Lepisosteus oculatus: one gene and its partner. The protein of the gene in region 1 purifies or fractionates together with the protein of each later gene. This does not show direct contact. Links are inferred from orthologs where the notes say so. Each region holds a gene or a part of one and is shown in the gene's direction. Other genes may lie near its edges.

Region 1 (7,348 bases):
GTTTTCCTCAGCTTCCCCTGGAAGTGTTTTCCTTGAGTTTCAGGGTGTTGCACAGCCGGACCTATTGAGATCTGTAGCCAAGTTAAGGAAAAAAGAATCTATATTTCACACTTAGGGGCATTTAATTCATAAGGGGTTTTCCTTTCCACTGGGGGGGCTGCAGACCCTCTAGACAATAGTCTGAGGCAAGACCAAGGGCAGCAGGGTAATCTCTGCACATTACTGTAGTATTCCAGAAGAGATGCAAATTAGACAGCATTATCAATTCTTGTTTAATCAAGACAGTGTTAATAGTCCTGTTTTGCTATGAATGTGAAGTTGGCTGCAGTGCTCAGCCATGTGGGCAAAAACCTTGGATGATGCTATAAAATAGGGCTACTTCCCTTACTTCTGGGGAGCAGGGAGGGTGACAGACATCTTATCCCACCTGCTTCATGAAGTAGCTGTGCTTCTCCTGCAACCTGCAGCCCCTGACATGGAAAAATACTACTGAGGAATCTAATTCATTTCTTTCACAATGAAAGTTATTGCTGATGTAAAACCTTAAACCAAAAGTCTGAAATAGTCCAAGAGGTCAGTGGGTTTAATTAGATGTGCCCCAATTCCATTAGTGGGCGTTACGGATTGCTTTGACAGCTAGATTCTGGGATGTGTTGGCTAATAATCCATCGTCTGATTTAATTAGTTGAAAAATACTGCCAGTGTGCCAATAGAATTTGACTTATTATTGATTTTAATTATGAATAATGCTGTGCTAAAACACTCCAGAAGTGCAGTTTCTTGATTCATGATGAACATTAGGATTTAGGGTTATTCTGTTTTTGTGTAGCTTGTTTTGGAGCAGAATGTGCGAAGGTTGCGTGTTGTCTAGGTCCGTTGTGCATTCACGCCAGGCGACCCTACTGTAGATATATCAGAAGTACCTGATGCACCCAGCCTTGGCTGGAATGCCAGCATGCAGACAGTGAAACATAGACTGGCAGTGATATCTATGGAATTACTGCCAGATCAGCATGGTGAGGTGTGTTTAAAGCCGCCACATGCGTGTGTCTCTTCCATGCAGACACGGGACATTGGCCTACAGTGTGCAAACATATGAGCACACAGTTCGTCCTACACACAAAGTCAAATGTCTTACCCCTCCATACTCAGGAGTTAACAAGCAGTGCAAGAAGTCTTAACCTTCTCTATGAATCATTGTCTCTTACACTGTCATATACAGAAAGATAAAATACACTTTATTGTTCCCTAGGGGAAAAGTTTTATGGACACACATTGCTTCTGTGCATCTGAATATATCGCACAAAATGACACATCACATCAATCGCGCATGCATAACTAATTACAAAACATAACCATGATATATTACGCTTGCATAGTTTGTTACAGCATAAACATATACTGACACAATGGCATTGACCCTTGCCATTTATGTGTATTAACTGCTTCAATAGATAAGGGAACAAATGAATATTTGTATTTATATGATTTACGTTTAGGAGCCCTGAAAGATTGATTCGTGAGGAAAAGGGGATGTTCATAGGGATATTCAGAATGAAGAATTTGTGAAGGATCTGATATCATTTTACCGCCTGTCTGATCATGGATTTTAAAAAAATTGTTAGCTGGAGTTCTGCTTCACATCTCCAGTGCAAGACAGTGCAAACAGGTCAGTTGTTTAGCACAGCAGATTTCATCATATGGAGGTGTTTTGCATTTTTAGAGTGTTTTGGCAAAGTATTACTACAAAATTGGCTGTTAGATTTACTTTGGTAGTTGGTCCCATGATCCCATCTCCCATGGATACTAAAAGACACATGTAGCGTTTTTAACGTGAGAAACATTAGGAAGCAGCAAAGAAACTCCTCCTTCACCAGTGATGTCGATCACAAAGATCCGGCTTGTGTTTGGCAGCCCCTTTCGCTGGAATTTGTAAAAGCGGCTCATTAACTATTTTAATTGAGTTGAGTGAAATTCATCTCGGCTCCAAAGCATCCGATTTCAAGAAAATCCTGGAATTAAAGGGAATCCTAGAATACTGTCCGTTCACATTTTAAAGATGGGGAAATTTCACATGCTAGTATCCGAGTCCGATCTTGGAGAAAGGTGATAGGCATCGAATTTTGAGTGTCAACTCCAGCTGTAGTAACTGGACACCACAGACCCACACACACCTCCCGCACTGCACTCGAACACAAAGCAGGTTGGATCACTGGGGAAATATCAGAGCAGATTCTTACAGTACAGGGCTTTCTCCTTACAGACACAAAGCAATAAATCTTTTTTTTGTTGGGAGTGAGATCTCCAGGTCTCTAGAAGAATATCAAGTACACCTAGTTAACTTCCACTTCTGCAGTTGCCAGTATTGCGAGACAGGTGTTCAGTGATTTATGGACAGCGATATCATGAAACCCCTGGCCTAGTTGCACGTTTTTCATCATTTCCAAAAAAAAATTTAAAAAAAAAACAACAAAAAATGGCCCTGCTTTTTTTAACAAGGCAGTGGGCCCCCAACACTTTGCATGTGAAACTAGTGTTAGATCTTTCTCTCCTCTCTGTCTGTCTAATTTCCCCTCTGTTGGACTCCTTCTCTCTGTTCCTGCTCCCTGCCCCCTTCTCTCCCCTTCTCTCTCCGTGTCTGTCTCTCTCTCTCTTTTGTAAGTTTTATTTTTGTAATTGTGCATGTAAAAGCGTCACTGAATCGATGGAAATGTTTAAAAAAATTTAAAAAAGAATTCAGCTGCTGAAGCCATGCAAAACGTTTTGAATTGCCCTTAAAATATGGAAGATGTTTTCTGAATGCTTTATATTCTTTCTGCTGTAAAATAATAAAAAAATGAAGAAAATTCTCATAGTATGATGTTGCTTTGTTTTGTTTTTTCTGTTACATTTGAACTTTCATGATGGAAATCTGTGTATACCCTGAAAATAAACGCTGAAGACTTTAGGCTGGGCTTATGGTTGGCAGTATGAGTATCGTTGGGTCTTTTCCATGATAATCAATAAACTCAAGTGAATTTGCTATCAATACTGATACAGTGCTAATTAAAGATGAATAAATTGCTGTTAATGCAATGTTGACAGTGCAATTGTCACTTAATACCAGAAAAAAATAAGTGCTTGTCGTAGAGAGACACTAATTGGAAACCGTAAATGCTGTCTGAGCGGAACACTCTTCATTATAGCCACGATTGTTTCCTTCGGTCCAGGAGACTCGTGCTGACAGGCTCCCAGGGGTTCTGTGATCTTGGTAATATTCGCTCAGAGACCATTCTCAGTGTCTAATTCGACACAGCTGTAGGTGTCCACGTGGAGTTGGAGCATGTTGGCTTGAGACAGTTGAGGAGCACGATGAATGTGCTACAGCTCTCTGCCTCTCTAAAACTGCTGGTTCACAGCTCTATAGGCCATAAGCGTTGCTGTGTCATTTTCCAGAAAAGTATTAGTGTTCTGAATCCTAAGAGCAACATGATTTCCAGGGCACAGGTGGGGCTGCACACTGGTGGTGGTGGAGGGGAGTCCCCATTACCTGTTAAGCACTTTGAGTGAAGTATCAAGAAAAGCTCTATGTAAGCGTAAGCAATTATTATTATTATTATTATTATTATTATTGTTGTTGTTGTTGTTGTTGTTGTTGTTGTTGTTGTTGTTGTTGTTAAGATCAATGCTGAAATATTTACCAGAGGAGTGTTCCTTGAGATTTCCATTGCTAAACCCGTTCGGGTCCTACAAGCAATGAACATCACTCTGTTCTGCCAGGATGATCTGTATAGTTCTTAACTGTGTCTCTGTTCTTGAGTATGTGTTGGAGAACGACCTGTCATTTTCCAACAGGAGTCTCCTCTCTTTATTTATAGTCTTGTTCTCGGGATGCTCGAGGCCACGCAAAGCCGGTCACACGCGTGCTCGTCACGGGTGGGCATCCGAAGGGGCGCTGGGTATAAAAGAAACAGCTGCTTGCAAACTGGTGTCTCACTAGAGTACACTCTGGAGACTTTCTAAAGTAAATCGACTTGTAGGTCAATCTTGCAATGCTAAAAAAACAACAACCGCTTGAAACCAAAAATAAATAAATAAAAAGGCTACGACAAAAAGTGAACGCATCTGATGGACAGTCCCTTTCATGAGACGTTTTTGTTTATTGCGATCAAGTTAATTATTTAGTTAATTTAATCCAGAATTATTTAACTCCAGTCAGATGTGTGCAGTCTGGAGCAAAGGCAAGAACAGAAATGCACCGAACTTAAACACTTAAAACACTTAAAATACATGGCCTCAGGCAAGGTAGAGGGTTAGAGATTTGTAAAAGTGCGAGAAAACGGTCGAACAGCGACCGGGAGTGAGCTGGGAAGTGCGCTGTGTCTTTAAATCCTGCTGTGAAAGTTGGTCGCACTAGCTGACACCACCTCAGCCCGATTTACACTTGGTTGCTGGTCCCGTTGCGGTAATCATGTAAGTATGTTTCTCCCGGTCAAACCCGGTGCCGTTCGGGCCCCGGCCCAGAGGGTGGGCCGCGAAAACAACATTTCGACACCGAAACCGAGCGGCGGTTTTCCCGTTTCGACGTGTGAAGGGCGCCCGTGTGAGGTGTCGGGGATGCGGGCAAAGGGCGTTTGTCCCGAGTCAAGTTGCCGGGCAAGAACGAGGCTTCGTCTTAAGTTTTGACTTGTAGGCCCGTTGTTCTGTTTTTGTTTTTAAACTTTATAACAAATCCGTCGAGGTCTGAAACGGTAAAGCCAGGATCCAGGACACCATTGTCTGTGTGTTTGCTGCATATGTGTTACTTTGTTGAGGTTTTTTTTTTTTACTATGGGAAGTAAACGGTTTTTAATGGACCCGGCGCTGTTACTCTTTTTTGAGTAAACGCTTCATTATTTTTTTTACATGATCAAGAGTTACGTTAAAAGAAAGCCGGTACTGGATCATTCGCCACTTTGCATTTTCGGTTTTTCGTTATTGAAGAAGTAACGCAGTTGAGGTGGTTTATTTTCTTGCTTTAGGAAAGGGGGGGGGGGCTTCTCTTATTTAAAATTAACCGAAATTTTCCGCAGTTTGGTTTTTACTTTTGCGTTTTGGTGTCATGTTTTAATATGCTTTATAAGAGACGTGTCGTTGTGCGGGAAATTACTTTAATAATTGACCTCGCTGTGGTCACCTCGGGTGTGTCCAGGCGCACTATCTTGCATAACTTGCTCTGAAATCACTCTTGAGAGTATATTTTAAGTGGCCGGGATTCAAACGGCTGTCCAAACCTTACATGCAACAGGCAAGTTTTATTTTTAAAAGCTCGCTTAAAGCATAGGACGCTTATCTCGGAGGTAGCACCTATTAATCGCGATGCCCACAGTGCTGTTAACACTCCCAGGAAAATCGCAGTTTGGGTCGTTGTTTGATTATGTTCAACTTCGTAATTCATATGTACAAGGTACGACATTTATTATATTTAGGAAGAAAAATGCAATGCAAAGGACTGGGGAATTCTGTTCTGAACAAAAAGCCTAAGAAAAGCATATCCTCGTTACTAATTCATCGATTTTTCTGCTGCTTTTATTGAAATCGCCCTATATTTTGCATCCATTTATACATCTGGACAGTCTGCTGAAGCTGTGTGGGCGAATGCTAACGAGGGGGATCGCCTCAAATCTTCTTGGTAAAATAAATGAGAAGACAGATGTTATAGGTGGAAGAACGTCCTGTATGAAGTTTGCAAGCCTTCCTCGTTCCCATGTGTCTTTTTCCCATTTCATTTTCCTCCCAGCTCATGGGGGCTTGCTGGCCAGGGGGATTCGCGTCCCTAAGGTTTCCCTGTGCCTGCTCGAGACCCGCCCTTTACGCTGGGTCTGTGTCCCGATCCCCGCAGCTCTCGGGTGGTTGAAGGGGCTACAGGTAACGGGCTGATGGGGTCTCTGAGGCAAGAGGCGGTGGTGGCCATTCGGACGAGGCGAGGACGAGATGACGTCGCGCCAGGGCTGCTTTGAGGTCGTTCCTAGCCCGACCTAGCCTTTCCATTCTTGCGTACTGCAGACGCGCCTCTTTAAGATAAGATCACTTTATTAGCCCTATACAACTTCTTGTATTAGGAATTTGTCTTTTCGCATACCCCAGCTTGCTCTCCATGAGACACACAGACAGGGAGAGAAGCTGGGGGTCAGAGCACAGGGTCGGCCATTTATACGGCGCCCCTGGAGCAGCTGGGGTGAAGGGCCTTGCTCAGGGGCCCAACGGAGTAGGATTCCCCTGCCGGCCGCGGGATACGAACCGGCAACCTTCCAGCCACAGGCGCGGATCCTGAGCCACAGAGCCACCTCTCCGTCTTTCCCCCTTCGCCCTGTCCAACTGCCACAACGGCCGTGCTTGTGGCAGGAGCCCAGTGAGGCTGGCGGTGGTGCCAGCCGGTCCCCGGCCCCTTCGCCTCCTGCTCTGGTGGACCGGCCGCCTCGCTCCACTGGTGGGGATGAAGGGGCAGAGATCCGCCTCAGGCATGTGATCGCCTCAGGCGGGCCAGAGAGGAGGTTTCTCCTTCAGCCAGGGGGAGATGGCCAGCTGTGTGGCGCAGTGCCTTTGTGCTCCTGCTGGGGATCAGCGCGTGGCTCTGAATTGCAAGATGTCGCAACAGCTCAGGCTGTGCTGTACTTGGGGCTGTTCCCGGGCAGGCAGACAGGAGACGTCCATTCCTTGAGACACAGGAAGCCCCAAATTCCTACATGCCGCGTGGATCCTGAGGATGTCTTGGGTCTCTGCAGAATCGCGCTGGAAAGTGAATTTAGAAGATTAAAGAACACCAGAAATACCTCGTCTATTCATGCATCATTTAAAATACTTTATACTTTGGTTGCCGACAATCTGAACACGACGGTTATCTCTTGTAGTATAAAATAGCGGTCTGATACTGGGCTGTTGAGAAAAAGAGCCACACAGCCAGAAGAATATTAATCCCCTTAGGTGTTTGTTAGTCTGACTGCAGAGGAAACGCAGACTATTGCATTGTGGCTCATGTGTAGCTTGGAGGGGACTTTTCTGGCTTAGTTTACAGATCCCCTATTTTGGAAAAAGGCACTGGTGCCTGGTTTATGTCAACGTTTAGTCAGCGGCAGCTCTGGTTCATCGCGTTTGTGGCTGTCAGTCCAAGTGTCGTACACCCTGAATAACATCGATAGGTGGTGTCTACCTGCTTCTTTTGAACAGGCTGCAAATAGTAAATAAAAATGGAAAAATGCAAAGTTTAAATTCAGCTTAACCTCTGTTGTGTGGATCCTCATTAGTCCCTTAATCTGTCCATCCTTTCTGTGACTGATTCTTCTAATTCTGGGTCGCAGGGATACAATTCCCTGTATCCTGCCCCGCGGCC
Region 2 (8,002 bases), on another chromosome or scaffold:
CGCCCGCACCCTTCCCATCACCCCCTGGGCAGCGGCACAGCCGCTCTCCGCCATGCGCTGGCCCAGCAGCCGGGCCACGCCGTGCAGGCAGGGCATGAGCGCGGAGACCGCCGCGTTGGCGTCCTCGCTCAGGAAGGCGGCCGCGATGCGCACCGTCCTCAGCACCGGCGCGAGCTCCTGCAGGAGGCGCCACTGGTGGTCCGCCAGGTTGGGCGGCGCCTTCTGCTCCTCCAGCACGGAGCTGACCACCCACTTGAGCTCCAGCAGGCTCTCGCACATCTCCAGCGCCGTGGCCCAGCGGCCCGGCTCGTCCAGCACCAGCCGCGCCCCGGCCTTGGGGTTGAGGGCGGCGGCGGCGCGCGCGTCGTGCTGGAAGTGGGACACGATGGCCCGGGCGGCCGCCAGCGCCTGGCGCACGGGCTCGGCGGAGAGGCCCTCCTGCACGCACAGCTTCAGGGCCTCCCCGGCGCAGCACAGCGCCGCCCAGCCCGCGGGCAGGGCCTCCCGGTCCTGGCGCCCCTCCTGCTCCTCGGGCGCCCAGCAGCGGTCGTGCACGACGGAGGAGACGGCGCTCTCCGGCAGGCGGAACTCGGAGAGCACGGACCGCAGCGCCGCCCCCAGCTGGGCCTCCGGCGCGCCCTCCGCGAGCTCGGGCACCGGCCGGGTCTCCAGCACGCAGCGGGCCAGGCGCCAGTCCCGGTCCACGAAGTGCGCGCTGACGGTCAGGTAGAGGCGGCCGCCGCCCCCGCCCGCGCCCAGCGACCTCCAGCGCTCGGCGCACAGCGTCAGGCCGCGGGGGGGCAGGCTGGCGCTCAGGTGCTGCTCCAGGTGCTGCTTGAGGGCGTGGTAGCGGTGCCACAGCAGGCTGCCCAGCTGCGAGGGCGAGGGCGCCGGGTACTGCGGCTCCAGGCAGCCCAGCAGCAGCCGGAAGCCGCGCTCCTCCACCAGGGACAGCGGCTGCAGGTCCCGGAACACCATCTCCAGGATCAGGTCCGTCAGCAGCCCCGCCCGCTTGCTGCTGCAGCCCCGCGCGCCCCCCCCGCCACCGCCGGCCTCCGGGTAGAAGAGCCCGGACAGCAGCGAGTGGCTGGGGGGCTCCGGCTCCGGGGCGCCGGCCGGGATCCCCCCGCCCGCCCCGGCCCCCCCACCGCCGGCGGCGGAGCCCCCCAGCCGCGCCCTCTTGCTCTCCCCCCCCTCAGGCGAGACCTCCGCCTCCTGCGTTTCCTCCTTGACCACCACCAGCGCCGCCGCCCCCCCCCCAGCCCCGCCCGGGCCGGGCAGGAAGGGGGCGGGCGGGGGCGGGGCCAGGAGGGCGGGGAGGGAGTGGTTGCCGGCGGCGGCGGCGGCGGGGGGGGCGGGGGCGGGGGCGGGGCCGTTGTCGCGGATGCTGTGCTTGCGGACCAGGTGCTCCCTCATGGTGGTGGTGCTGTTGTGGAAGGACAGCTGCTTCTTGCAGACGTTGCACTCCACGTGGCTCTCGCTCAGCTGCGTGTAGTAGTTCCACACCTTGGACTTGCGGCGGTCCACCGAGGCGCAGTACAGCGGCCGCCCCAGAGGCCCCCCCGCGCCCCTCTCTCCGCGCCGCTTCAGGGGCGGCCCCAGGCCCGAGGGCAGGGAATAGCCCGGAAACTCCATGGGGAGCAGGGGGAGAGGGCTCCTGGAGGCTGAGGAGACACAAGACGGTCGGCTGGCGACGTGGGGATTCTTGAAGTTCGAGATTCTCGCTGTTCGATAAAGAACAGGCTGGGCAGCTTGTCTTATCTGATGAACGTGATCACGTTACACCTGTTCGCTTCCCCCCTGCCACATCAGCAGGGCCACAATGCACTGCAAGTGTGGGGTAACCCCCACCCTCACCTGGAAGGGCCCCCCGTTATCACACAATTCCCTCCTGTGCTGCTCCCATAACACTTTCCACACCCCTGCCTGGCTCAGGATTTGACACTGGCTTTACTCTTCTTGCACCGTGATTTCACTGTGCTCGAGAGTTCTCTTACCATGATTTCAGTGCTTCATTACACTTCACTGTGCTTTTACCATGACTTCCCTGCTTCATAACACTTTACTTGTACCACGGTTTTACCATACACCACTACTACTACTCTTTACAGTGCTTCTACATGATTTCACTGTATTTGACACCTCACCCTGCTTTTACCACTATTTACTCCCAAAACACTCTTCCGGAAGAAATATCAATCGGAGCCTATCGTGAATACTGCTGTACACTCTCCAGCAGCAGGTAAACCAACACGCTGTGACCCACCTGGAAAATATCTTTGACACTGAAAGTCATTGACTGGAGCCAGACGAGCCGAGTAACTCGTCACACCCGGGAGCTGGACCCACCGCCCTCCGGAGTCCAGAGCCCCAAGCCCCTGTTCTGTACTGCTGCCCTCTAGCGGTGGTACAGCGCACTGCAGCGCCTCTCGCACCCGTGTCAGCTGGAGCGCCAGCAAGCAGCTGACAACGAAGGAGACCAACAAGCCTGCCCATGAAGAGCGCTACAAAATAGGCGACACGCAGTGACTACAAAGGCTGAAAAACGAGGCCACGGATATGCCCAGGACACAGAGCAACCAGGAACGGGCTTGACGGAGTGATGAATCCGGGTCGTGTAGCCGCAGTGGGACAGACTGGCCAGCGGGCAGTGGGTGCCAACGTCACCGCACTGACGCGGGCTGAGATTTCGCGGATTCGTGGCCCGTGTTTGTTGTTGTTGTTGTTGTTGTTGTTTGTGTGTGTGTGTGTGTAAACGCTCAGGTCGAGTCCTGCGTTTCCCGGGCTGTGTAAGTCGCGACTTAAGCCGTCGCTACCCCCCCTCTGCAATGACACATGACTCGAGTAACAGTTTACTTAGACCAGCGGTCAGGTAACGTCGACACCCGGCGCGCCGCCGGCCTGCGCCGGACTGGACAGCCCGCAACACTCACCCGGTCGCTAGGGGATCCTGCCGCCGGCTCGGGGCACCACGGTTACCGGGGAATGAAACGGAAGGCGGGCGCAGAAGCTCGTTCGGAAGTCACACATAGCCGAACCCCAGCCCGCGGCCCACCTTCCGACGGGAAATGATTCTTTCATATCCAGGGTCATGCTGCAAAGTGCCGCACCGCCCGGAAAACGGAGGGCGAAAGGGGACGCACGGTTTAGGGACCGTCCCCCATGCGCAGCGGGAAGCGTATGCGGATTTCACACTTTGAAAATCAAAAAACCGGGGGACGAAATTCTCGTCCTCTCGCCGGAAGGCTGGAGCAGCCCCGCGGTGCCGAAACGCACGATTGCGCGTCCGAGCTGCGCACAGCGGCGAGAGACCAGACCGGTTGTTAAACCGGTATCTGCGGGTACCAGACACCAGCCTCCACCCGACGGTGGACCTCGCTGCAGTGCTCAAAGGCATTCCTGTCGAAATTTCCCTTAAAGCGTTGTTTGGCTGTAACTACTGTAATTCCTTTGTCTAAATTTGGCCAGTTTGAACTGTCTGATTTTTCTCATTCTGTCGAGCTGTGGAACTTCGCTTCAAGGTTTGTTGAATACGTTACTAAATAAAAACTGAACGGGTTAACGGGCGTCCTTGTCTTTTATTAAGGGCATTTGACGGGATTTTGAATTGTAATTTAAAAAAAATCATTGAAAAAACATTTTTTAAAGCTTCCCTAGTGCCTGCTGGTTGTTCGTTTCTAAAAAACACGAGATCGAAGATTCACTGGGATCGGACTGGTTACCATAGTAACGGCTTCCGGCCGCACGGAAGCGCTGTCCGGTATAGGAATCCTGAGCTCGAGGCTGGAGGGCTGGTCCTGTTACCCACCTGAAGGTGTTCGAGACGGGGGATGGAAACTGACTCTCTGTGCTGTCCTCTTAGGGACCTGTTGCGGTAACATTCCCAGGAACACACATTTGACACACACACATACACAATGTAGGAAACAACACGTCAAGCCATGCAATCGGTCTCCCATACACCTGTTTGCAGACACCTGTCAACACTGCAGAATTAGTCCACTAATTTTGGACTATTAGTGTGTACATGCACTTTTCTGTTGTACAGAAGTAGTTCAGGTGGGGAGGTGGCGTCAGCATGCCTAGGCTCAAAAGGAACAAGTAATAGGTTTATTCCAAGCTGAAGAGAGAAGAGGGAAAATGTTTCACCCGAAGAAGGCTCCACAGCCGAAATGTCGTCTTTCTTCTCTTTCCAGCCTGGAATAAACCTATGGCTTGCTCCCTTTGTATCATACTTCTACAATACTCTTGCTTTCACTCTACTGAGATGATGGCATATCGTGGAGATTGTCGAAAGCTTGCCAGTGGCACGGTCACCACTACACAGCAGCCAGCAGCCAGTAGCCATATCACCCTGCAACTCACAACTGGCAACCCACTGGAGCCCAGCAGGTGTGAGCCTGGTCAGTACCTGGAGGGGAGAGACTCCTGGGAAACACTAAGGTTGCTGCTGGAAGAGGCGTTAGTGGGACCAGTAGGGGGCGCTCACTCTGCGGTCCAGGTGGGTCTTAATGCCCCAGTATAGTGACGGGGACACTATACTGTAAACAGGTGCCGTCCTTTGGATGAGACGTAAAACCGAGGTCCTGACTCTCTGTGGTCATTAAAAATCCCAGGGCACTTCTTGAAAAGAGTAGGGGTGTAACCCCGGCGTCCTGGCCAAATTTACCATCGGCCTTTATCAATCATGGCCTCCTAACAATCCCCCTCTTCATTTCTCTGCTCTCCTCCCCACGGATACCTGGTGTGTGGTGAGCGTTCTGGCGCACTATGGCTGCCGTCGCATCATCCAGGTGGATGCTGCAGATTGGTGGTGGTGGAGGGGAGTCCCCATTACCTGTAAAGCGCTTTGAGTGGAGTGTCCAGAAAAGCGCTATATAAGTGTAAGCAATTATTATTATTACACGTCGACAGCGCTGCAGTGTTGTGCTTCACGGTCTCTGGCAGGCGGGCCCGGCGCGTGCCTTTGCTGCGCCCCTCCCACGTGACACGGGCGCCGGCCCGCGGCTTCAGCGAGATGTGTCAGGCGTCAGGCGCAGACCGGAGCGAAGCCCACAGGCGCCGCAGTGTAACCGAAGCAAAGCGCACTGTCAGCGCGGACGCAATCATGGACAATTCCGGGAAAGAAAAGGAAGCACTGGCCCTCATGGCAGAGGCCGAAAGAAAAATCAAATCGTCGCAGTCTTTCTTCGGGACGTTGTTTGGGTGAGTGGCAGGTGGCGGCGGAGCGGGGTCGCGATCGGTTTGGCTGCCGGGGAAGGAGAGCTCGTAGACGGTCTAAGCTCGTTAGGAAAATCCGAGGGCGTGCGGCTGACGGTACAGAAGCAGAGGCCTGGCCGTAAAAGGCTGTCATGTATGCTTGGGAACGCTCCTGGTCATGTGGCATAACGATATCGACCTCCATGCGAAATAAAAGGACACCATCGATAAATACATTTTTAACTTTTTTTTTTTAGAAAAGTTGTACAGCACCGTTGAGCTACGGGCTGAAAAGTTGCTTGATCATCGATTTGCCAGCCTGTTCCTTCCTGGGTCGATTGTTCTGCCGAGTTCGGGGAGGGACGCAGGTCTGGGAGCTGCGGTTACGAGCTCCGCGGTCACATGTGTCGTCGAGTCAGCTGATCACACGACACCAGACTGTAAACAAAGTACTCTGACACCGGGTCCGCATGGTCTGACCCAGTGAGGAGCACTGGTCTGTCTTCCACCGCAACACAGAACATTCAGAGTGTCCTCTACCTGAACTGTCGTGTAGGGACCAGTTGTAAAAGGGCTGTCCCACTGTACTGGGACTGTAGCCCCTATTGTAACAGGACTGTTCTACTGTACTGGGACTGTAGCTCCTACTGTAACAGGACTGTTCTACTGTACTGGGACTGTAGCCCCTATTGTAACAGGACTGTTCTACAGTACTGGGACTGTAGCTCCTACTGTAACAGGACTGTTCTACTGTACTGGGACTGTAGCTCCTATTGTAAGAGGACTATTTCACTGTACTGGGACTGTAGCTCCTATTGTAACAGGACTGTTCTACTGAACAATCCTGTTGTTGTACTGATAATGAATAATTACAGTAGACGATAGAGAATCTTATCGAGGCATCTAAGCTGAGATGCTGTGTTGTAGCAGAAATGGAGCCCAGCAGGACAGTGAGTGTGTGTTAGGGGGCAGCTCTGTGTGTGAATTTCGTACTGTGACAATAAGATAGATAGATACTTTATTGATCCCGTGAGGGAAATTGCAGAAGAGGAGGGAAACATGCAGGTGTGTGCAGGCAGGCAGGCAGGCAACACCCCCTCTTGTGCTTCTGGAGAATCAGCATCTGGGTGAAGTTTATTCAGAGGTAGAGGTGCGTATCTTAAAGGGAAACTGCAGTCCCAGTTTCTCAGACCGGTTATTACAACTTGGTAACAAAATGATTCATTGACCATATAGGAAAAAAAAAGACAAATCTGAATTAAGCACAAGTACTGTAAGTCACCATGTTGTCGCGAACTCAAACATCCGAGTTGCGACGCGATGCGACCCTTCCTGCTCACTAGTCTCCATACTGACTAGTGAACCGATAGGAACCGATTGTGCAGCAGACATTTCACCACAGAAATGATCTGTATGCAAGAGTAAACAAGTAAGTGGTATTTGTCTGTAAAACGTTTCAAAACCTGAAGCAACATTTCTGCTGGATTAAAAGAGATTTATTTACAAAGGAACAGGTTAAGGTTTATTCCGTGTTGAAAGGAGAAAAAAAAAGAGACCACTGTAGAAATGTGTGCCTTCCTTCAGGTGTGTTTCTGCAATGTGAAAAACACAGTGGATTAAAAGCCGGCTTGTTTTGTGATGTAATAGGGCCACAACACGTCACCGGTAGTTTTGTTGCCTCTTTCTCAATCACAGAACACACCTGGGAATTTCAGCAACTATGTGATGTAACTTGGAGGCTTGACAAGTTACTGTGCACGTTTGACTGTTATTGTGGTTTGAAATGCACCCATCAATGCTGTTTTTTTCCTAACCCCGAAATCTAAAATCGTATATTTCAGTTCCCCTTTAGCTTGGGAACTAAGCCACCTCTCGCTCTCCCCAGCAGGGAAGAACGTCTTTCCTCAGTCTCCGCCCACAGAGTGGCTCTGCTTGTGTTTCCACCTGTCCGTTGATCCACTGGACGGGAACAAATTCAGATAATTTCCTTCAGTAAAATATAATTCACTAACTGCAGCAGCATTTGGAAAGATGTTACCTGGGTACTTTAGATCCCTGTTGGCTCAGTTTTGTTTGTCAGAACTATGCAGTGTTAATGCGTTAGGGAATCAGACTGATGACGGGAAGGAACTTGCTCTAAAACATTTGTTTTTACATCTACGTAAAGTAGTAGGCTCTGACCTTGCCTGTGTCCCTCCCTCTGTTCCTGGCTGGGTGTCCAGGGGCTCATCGAAGGTTGAGGAGGCATGCGAGATGTACGCACGCGCTGCCAACATGTTCAAGATGGCCAAGAACTGGAGTGGTAAGAGACAGAGACAGTGAGAAGGAAGGAGGGGTCATAGCGGAGTGTGTGTGTGCAGTGAGGTGTGATGCGGTGCTGTAGCAGTGTGTGTGTGTGCAGTGAGGTGTGATGCGGTGCTGTAGCAGTGTGTGTGTGTGCAGTGAGGTGTGATACAGTGCTGTAGCAGTGTGTGTGCAGTGAGGTGTGATGTGGTGCTGTAGCACTGTGTGTGTGTGCAGTGAGGTGTGATGCGGTGCTGTAGCAGTGTGTGTGTGCAGTGAGGTGTGATACAGTGCTGTAGCACTGTGTGTGTGTGCAGTGAGGTGTGATGCGGTGCTGTAGCAGCGTGTGTGTGCAGTGAGGTGTGATGCGGTGCTGTAGCAGTGTGTGTGTGCAGTGAGGTGTGATACAGTGCTGTAGCACTGTGTGTGTGTGCAGTGAGGTGTGATGCGGTGCTGTAGCACTGTGTGTGTGTGCAGTGAGGTGTGATGCGGTGCTGTAGCAGTGTGTGTGTGCAGTGAG

Evidence for each region. Proteins that work in one complex are often made in the same cells at the same time.
Region 2: the proteins of vamp3 (region 1) and alpha-soluble NSF attachment protein purify together in Homo sapiens (affinity purification with mass spectrometry; 3 studies listed by BioGRID and IntAct, with this or other methods). This does not show direct contact. The link is inferred for Lepisosteus oculatus from reciprocal best matches to the Homo sapiens genes VAMP3 and NAPA.

The regions. Positions count from the first base shown.
Region 1 is NC_090720.1:9,620,508-9,627,855, forward strand, and holds the start of vamp3 (vesicle-associated membrane protein 3), read left to right. Parts: upstream 1-4,327; 5' UTR 4,328-4,450; coding exon 4,451-4,452; intron 4,453-7,348. UniProt on the Homo sapiens protein: SNARE involved in vesicular transport from the late endosomes to the trans-Golgi network.
Region 2 is NC_090698.1:6,291,089-6,299,090, reverse strand, and holds the start of alpha-soluble NSF attachment protein, read left to right. Parts: upstream 1-4,999; 5' UTR 5,000-5,017; coding exon 5,018-5,205; intron 5,206-7,421; coding exon 7,422-7,501; intron 7,502-8,002. Other genes in the region: zbed4l2 (E3 SUMO-protein ligase ZBED1), read right to left, coding at 1-1,635. UniProt on the Homo sapiens protein: Required for vesicular transport between the endoplasmic reticulum and the Golgi apparatus. Together with GNA12 promotes CDH5 localization to plasma membrane.